Linked DNA regions of Oryctolagus cuniculus. The protein of the gene in region 1 interacts with the protein of each later gene in a biochemical or structural test. Links are inferred from orthologs where the notes say so. Each region holds a gene or a part of one and is shown in the gene's direction. Other genes may lie near its edges.

The links. The genes of interacting proteins can lie anywhere in the genome.
Region 2: the proteins of FLNA (region 1) and ITGB1 form a complex in vitro, tested with the Homo sapiens proteins (3 studies listed by BioGRID and IntAct). The link is inferred for Oryctolagus cuniculus from reciprocal best matches to the Homo sapiens genes FLNA and ITGB1.

What each region holds. Positions count from the first base shown.
Region 1 is NC_091453.1:132,584,989-132,588,545, reverse strand, and holds part of FLNA (filamin-A), read left to right. Parts: intron 1-80; coding exon 81-241; intron 242-328; coding exon 329-499; intron 500-860; coding exon 861-984; intron 985-1,071; coding exon 1,072-1,228; intron 1,229-1,820; coding exon 1,821-2,010; intron 2,011-2,168; coding exon 2,169-2,192; intron 2,193-3,557. UniProt on the Homo sapiens protein: Promotes orthogonal branching of actin filaments and links actin filaments to membrane glycoproteins. Anchors various transmembrane proteins to the actin cytoskeleton and serves as a scaffold for a wide range of cytoplasmic signaling proteins.
Region 2 is NC_091444.1:108,893,683-108,897,705, forward strand, and holds the start of ITGB1 (integrin beta-1), read left to right. Parts: upstream 1-1,200; 5' UTR 1,201-1,409; intron 1,410-1,826; exon of another isoform or gene 1,827-1,988; intron 1,989-4,023.

The sequences.
Region 1 (3,557 bases):
GTAAGCCAACCACCAGGGACGCAGAGGAGAGCCATGGGCTCAAGACCCTCAGAGAGTGACGGGCTGTCTGTTGGGACCAGGGGAGCTGGCACAGGTGGCCTGGGCCTGGCTGTCGAAGGGCCCTCTGAGGCCAAGATGTCCTGCATGGACAACAAGGACGGCAGCTGCTCAGTGGAGTACATCCCCTATGAGGCCGGCACCTACAGCCTTAATGTCACCTATGGTGGCCACCAAGTGCCAGGTGAGAAGGCAGTGGTCAAGATGGCGGGGACTGCCCGATTTCCCCACGCTGTCTTACGCAGCTGCTGTCCCTTTGCCCAACCCCCAGGAAGTCCCTTCAAGGTCCCTGTGCATGACGTGACAGATGCATCCAAGGTGAAGTGCTCTGGGCCTGGCCTGAGCCCAGGCATGGTCCGTGCCAACCTTCCTCAGTCCTTCCAGGTGGACACAAGCAAGGCTGGGGTGGCGCCACTGCAGGTCAAAGTGCAGGGGCCCAAAGGTGAGTGCTCACCTACCCGGCAGCCAGGGACTCAGCAGGGGGAAGGAACATGGAGGCCCAGCATATGCAGAGTGGAGTCAGGTGTGTGGGCAGGTGGAGTGGGAGACCCTCGGGTTGACAGAGGAGAGCTGGTGGGGAGAGCAGGAGGAGGCAGGACAGATGGGGTAGGAGGGAGGGACAGCAAGGGTCCAAAGTGGCAACCAGAGTGGTGTCTCATGCCACAGGGGTTTGGGGCCGTCCTTGTGGATGGGCAGCGACAAGAGGAGGTCTAGGCCTGGTGCCCTGACCGGGTCAGTGTGGTGGGGGTGGGGGTAGGGGCCCAGGGGGCTGGCTGAGGTTGTGTCCCTTGGACTGGGGTCAGGCCTGGTGGAGCCAGTGGATGTGGTGGACAACGCCGATGGCACCCAGACTGTCAACTACGTGCCCAGCCGAGAAGGGCCCTACAGCATCTCAGTGCTGTATGGGGAAGAGGAGGTGCCCCGGAGGTGAGTCAGGGCCCACCACCCATGGGGAGGGGTCCAGGCTGGATGTCCAGAGCCTGTCTGACCTCTCGCAACACCCTGGCTCCACAGCCCCTTCAAGGTCAAGGTGCTGCCTACACATGATGCCAGCAAGGTGAAGGCCAGTGGCCCTGGACTCAACACCACTGGTGTACCCGCCAGCCTACCTGTGGAGTTCACCATTGATGCAAAGGATGCTGGGGAGGGCCTGCTGGCTGTCCAGATCACGGTGAGCTCACTGGCCTCACAAGCTGGACTGTAGCATGGTGCAGGCAGAGGAGAGGCCAGGCTGGGTCTCCCTAGGGAGTCATCCCAGGGAAGGCAGGGCCGGCCAGCTTCTGCTTTGCCACCATCATGACTACCTGAGGCTGATGCTGGCGGGCACAGGCCTCGTGGAGCACACACCCTCTGCTAACACTGAGGACCTTCCCAAGGCCTCTGGTGCTGCACTTCCCCTCCTGTGCCATTCTCACTGGGAAGATACGAGGAGATCTCCCAGCTGAGCTCCCCTGAGTGCTGGGGCAGACCCTGGTCTCAGGGTGGGAGCCCACAGGGGTCGTGGCAGGGGATTTGGGTAAGGGAGCATGGGCCCAGGGGCCCTGGCCCTGTCTGTCGGCACATGGAGCAGTGTTGAATACTTCTGCAGTTCCATCTAGACTGCCCATGGGGAAGTAAGGATGATGCTGGGTGCAAACAGCCTTTTGGGGCCATAGCTGCTGAGAGGCCTGGAGGCTGTCCCTGTAGCAGTGGTACTTGGCATCCATTCAGGAGGGTGGCTTACCTGGGCCCGGGCCAACACTTCCACGTGCTCTGCCGTGCAGGACCCTGAAGGCAAGCCCAAGAAGACACACATCCAAGACAACCACGATGGAACGTACACAGTGGCCTATGTGCCAGATGTGACGGGCCGCTACACCATCCTCATCAAGTATGGTGGTGATGAGATCCCCTTCTCCCCATACCGTGTCCGGGCCGTGCCCACCGGGGATGCCAGCAAGTGCACGGTCACAGGTGAGCCAGCCCGCCAGCGGCCGCTGTGGCGCTCGGCACGGGGCTTGGGTGTGCCTGTGTGCAAGGGCTCGCTGCTTGGGGCGGCGTGTGGGAGTGGGGGCCGCCCCCTTGAGTGACTCACCTGACCTTTCTCCTTGCTCTCTGCCCTCTCACCTCAGTGTCAATCGGAGGTCACGGGCTAGGTAAGCTGCTTGCTGGGGCCACTCCCAACGCCCCTCCTGCCCAGAGGGCAGCTTCCTTTCCTCTTCCGGTGCTGATTCCCAGGAGAGTTCCAGCTGCAGCTCCAAGCAGGGACAGAGTGGGTGGGGGGGCTGTGCAAGACAAGGCCATGGGCTGGAGGGTTAGGGCCCAGGGAGGCTTCCGGAGCTAAGCATGAACACTCCGGCCCTTCCCCTCTCTGGGCCTCCGTTTCCCCACTGGAGAACTCGGGTTGCAGCTGAGAGCTTTGGGGTGAGGTGCATCCTGAGAGGCACCCCACTTGGGGACTTTGGGGTCTGGGGATCTTGGCACTCTGGGCAAGTACCCAGGGATAGGCAGTGGGCCCTTCCTTCTCACAAGGGCTCCTGCTTGGATTAAGGGGACAAGGGGAGTCCCTAGCTCCGGCCAGATCCGCAGACTCCCATCCCTACCTCCCAGGGGCCTGAGTCCCGGGCCGGGGGAGGTGCATGAGCGGGTGGGGCTGGCTGGTAGTGCAGTAGCACCAGCGTCGACTGCTTGGGTGGCCAGCATGGCGGGGCCCAGCCCAGCCTAGAGCCCCAAAGTGCACTGTGTTGCCCGTCTCCCTCCTTCCCTTCCTCTCCTGTCCCCCTAGCAGTGACGTTATTCAGGCCATCCCCTGGCAGGCACAGAAGTTTGCCTGCCCCAGCCAGGGGCACCTCTAAGAGGGGAGAATGACTTGAGGGCCTCTAGAGGCTGTAGGCCGGCCACTCAGGCAGGGTGGCCAGGGAGCAGGTTAGAGGGAGGCTAGGGTTTTGGAGCGGGGCTAGACAGCCTTGTAGAGTAGACTTTGGGATCGGGGGAGACCTGGTGCATGTGCAGGACTCAGACTAGGGGGTAGGGGAGAGGTTTGCATTAGCCTTAGTTTACGTGGCCCATGTGTGCAGTGTGGAGGCAGGGAGCCCAGCTCAGGGGCTGAAGTCACTTTTGGGTAAGCTGGACGGGTGGCTTGGGCCAGGCCAGTGGCCATGGGATTTCAGGTGGGAGCCCAGCCAGGACAGGGTACTTGGAGAATAGAGTAGCTAAGACCTGCTGATGGGCTGGGAAAGGTGGGAATCGGGGGTAGTTGTGAGGCTGGAGCCCTAGCCATGAGCTGGGTGGTGTGGGGTGCAGGTGAGTGAGGCCTCCCAGGGCAGCAGATAGCCAGCTGTAGAGCCCAGGAGACCCACCTGGGCTGTGGTCAGTCAGCATAGTGCCTAAGCAGGGGGAAGAACCCTTGGCCAGTAGGGGGACTTGGTGGCAGACTGGCCAGGGGTGCCCCCTGAACTTGACCCTCAAGCAAGTTTGGTGCTCCTGGCTGCTTCCTTGGCAGGAGGCCAGGCTACAGGGGT
Region 2 (4,023 bases), on another chromosome or scaffold:
TGATTTGTGATCTTATTGTGTGATTTGTGATCTGCCTACATGCCCTAAGTGCCTAGGTTCTAGTCTCAGCTCTGTTTCTGATTCCAGCTTTCTACTAATGAGCATTATTTTTTGGGGGGGCAGCAGGTGACAACTCATGTAGCTGGGTCCCTGCCACCCACATGAGAGGCCCAGATAGAGTTCCTGACTCCTGGCTTCTGCCTGCTATAGCCCTGGCTGCTGCAGCATTTGAGGATGGAAGATCATTATCTGTTTCTGTCTCAATGTCTTTCAGTAAATGAAACAGATAAAAAAAATGTAAAAAATGATCTGGTATGGATGGTGTCAGTCTGTGGCCAACCCCAGGAAAATCTGGTCTTGTGTCGTCTGTCTGAACGTCTCACCCTTTCACTCTCACAGATGCAGGCATCCATTCTGAGTCGCAGGTGTTCTTTTTTTTTTTTTTTTAAACAATTTATTTATTTATTTGAATAGCAGAGTTACAGAGAGGCAGAAGGGGGGGGAGAGAAAGACACACACACACACACACACACATATACATATATCTTCCATCTGCTGGTTCACTCCCCACATGGCTGCAACAGCTGGAGCTGGGCAGATCCGAAGCCAGGAGCCAGGAGCTTCCTCCAGGTCTCCCATGCGGGTGCAGGGGCCTAAGGACTTGGGCCATCTTCTACTGCTTCCCCAGGCCATAGCAGAGAGCTGGATTGGAAGTGGAGCAGTGGCCACATGGGATGCCGGCACTGCAGGTGGGGGCTTTACCTGCTACATCACAGTGCTGCCCCGAGTCTCAGGAGTTCTCAACCATCAGAAGGCAGAGGGCTCTCACCCCAGCAGGTCTCCCACAATCACGTGATAAAAGACAACCCGTGGGACCCAAGTGTTTGAGGAAAGGCAAGTGCATCTGACTAAGGCAGCATGGTGCCTTTCACTGAGGTAAGCCTTCTTCTAATGGCAGAGACCGAGATCACACAGACCCTTGTGGGCGAGCAACTGAGAGCGGCAGGTGACCAAAGGCTCTTCTGGAGAGCAGGTACTAGCAGGGTCGGGAACTGCAGTAAGGGTCAGGAGGAGGGTCTACCACCGGGCAGACGAGAACACTGCCCGGGAGCTGGGGTGGCGAAGCCCGCACGGGTGCTGAGTTCAAGACCTGCGACGTGGCTCGCACGCCTCCTCAGCAGCACGGGCGGCCCTGCCCTCCCCCTGGTGTTTGTGTGAGCCGCTTCTCTACAGAACACTCCGCTTCCCCCTTCTCGCTGCCCTCCCACGCCGCTCCAGCCTGGGCCCACAGGAGCCCTGCACCGTAACTTATCCAGCGTTATCCAGAATTCCAGCACCCGCTCTGTGTGCCGGCAGAGCTGCACCCCAGGGAAGGAACCCTGCGGCCTGGCGGCGCGAACCGAGCGCAGGTGAATCCCGCGGGGGCCCTCGCGCGCGGGGAGTTCACCGCCCCCTTCAGGGTCACGGGGTCATTAACGCCGGTCCCCAGCGGTCGCCGTGCGCGGGACCACGGAGCTCGTGGGTCAGAGAGCCCCAGGGACCCTGTGCAACCCCCAACGCCCCGGGCGGGCTCCTCTTACACCGGATCAGAGCGGCGGCCGAGACACCGGCGCGCGGGACCCGCAGGCGCGGGAGACGGGGCTGAGGCACCGCGGCCCCCGGCCGGCCGCCCCGCGCGCGCCCGGCCCCGCGCGGCCCCGCCCGGCCGAGCCCTTTGTCCGGGCGCCTCCCGAGGCGCGGCCGTCAGGAATGCGCTTCCGGAGCGAGGGGCGCGCGCCCGGCCCGCGGGGCGGGGCCGCGGAGGGGCTTCCGGCCGGGAGGCGGCGCGGGGCGGCCGAGACCCCGCCCGGTGGCCCGGAGGAGGTGGAGGAGGAGGAGGAGGAGCCGCCGCCCGCCGCGCCCGGAGCCGGGAGAGGCCGCGCCGAGCCGCGGGGACGCCGAGCAGCAGGCCCAGCCTAAGGCGCAGGCCCGGACGCCGCCTGGGGAAGGTGAGGCCTGCGGCGCGCGGCGCAGCGCGCCCGGCGGCGCCCGGCCCGTCCTCGCGGCCCTTCCCGGCCGGCGTCCCCTCTGCCTGGGAGGCCGGCGTGGCTGCCGCGCGGGGCCGGCCGTTTCCGGCAGCGCTGGGTCAGCGCCCGCGTCCGGGGAGAGCTAGGCCTCCCAGGGGTCCTCGCTCAGGGCCCGGCCGGCCGCTGTGCTGGTCACCGGGCGCTTGTCCTGCGGCAGCAGCGCCGAGCCGGGCCACAGCGCCCGAGAGCGGGCAGCAGCTGGACTCGGGGTCCAGCGCCTTCGGCCCCGGGCGTCTGGGAGGAGTCCCGGTTCTCTGCCCCTGGGGGCGGGGAGCCGGGAGGAGTTGGGGGGCCAGGACCCGTCGCCCTCGGGAGTCGGGAGAAGTCGGGGGGCCGAGCCCTTTGCTGTCGGACCCCGGGAGCGGGGTGGACCCCTGGGAGCCTGGAGGAGTCGCCGGGGCCAGGGCCCGCCACGCTGTGCCCGCAGGAACCGGGAGGAGTGGCCGGGATCCCCGGGAGCGGGAGGAGCCGCCGCGGCGCCGGGGTGCGGGGCGGAGGCCGCGGGCGTGAGGACCCCGGTCTGGGCACTGGGCGAGGGCCGGGCCGCTCCGCCGCGGGCGTGAGGACCCCGGTCTGGGCACTGGGCGAGGGCCGGGCCGCTCCGCCGCGGGCGTGAGGACCCCCGTCTGGGCGTGAGGACCCCGGTCTGGGCGTGAGGACCCCCGGTCTGGGCGCTCGGCGAGGGCCGGGCCGCTCCACCGCGGGCGTGAGGACCCCGGTCTGGGCGCTGGGCGAGGGCCGGGCCGCTCCGCCGCGGGCGTGAGGACCCCCGTCTGGGCGCTCGGCGAGGGCCGAGCCGCTCCGCCGCGGGCGTGAGGACCCCCGTCTGGCCGCTCCGCCGCGGGCGTGAGAACCCCGGTCTGGGCTTGAGGACCCCGGTCTGGGCGCTGGGCGAGGGCCGGGCCGCTCCGCCGCGCGCCGGTGCTCGTGCCGCCCGGGAGCGCGCGCGGTTCGCCCGGTGCTGGCTCTTGATCTCGAGTCGCGACCCCCGCTCCGCGCTGCTGGTTCCTCTGAAGTGGAACAAAGGCGCCCGCGCCAATACGATAACGGATTCTGGTTATCTCGCCCGGTTCTGCGACAGGGCGGGGAGCCGTGGGTCCTGTTTTCACCTCCCGTTTTACGGAGGCGAAGACCCCAGGGTCCACGGACCTCCGTCCTGAGCCCGTGGCCGCCGGGACGCTGACGTGAGCACTTGCCGGCTGCTCAGCCCTCCTGGGCGGTCAAGTCTGACATCCCAGTGTGGTTGGCTACGTAGATGTCTCTGGGTCAGCAGTCCGCATAGATATTTAGGTGCATAGAATCGTAGGTTGTCGGTTATTTTTTTGTTGTTTGGTGGTTTTTATAATGCTCATATTTTTAAGTAATTTTGCTTCATTACTCAATACTAAATGCATGATTTGGGATGGTAAGTAATAAATAGGAAAGAAATGAAGCATTGATGTTTTGGTATACACATTTGGGATGAAAGCTATTTTACTTCGCCAAAAATTGAGTATAAAAGGGGAAGATGTTATTAAAATGCTAGTTTAAAAGATAGGGAATGTGGTTAATACCTTACTGTGTAGACAGAGCAAATAAACTCCTAGCCTAATTTGGCTTCACAGATCGACAATTTTAAGTGTTTGTGATGTGGACTTTCTTTTGTTTAAGAATGTAAAGTTGTATTTTAAGGTTATTTTTTAATCTCAAAGACTAACTGCTTTGTATATATGCTACCAAAACGAGCAACAAAGTATAACCACGTGGAAAAGTCCTTAGCTTGAGTAATTTTAACACTCGGGCCTTCTAGTAGTGTAGTTTGAGTCCACCACAGGTCACCATCATTGAATGGAAATGCCTACTTGGTGTTGAATTCCTAACTGCAGGAGTTGCACGCACTGGGGACCTTTTATCTTCATGAAAAGCAGTCCGTTTAATGTCCTGCAAGTTTTCACAAGAATCCCTGCCACTTGTGATT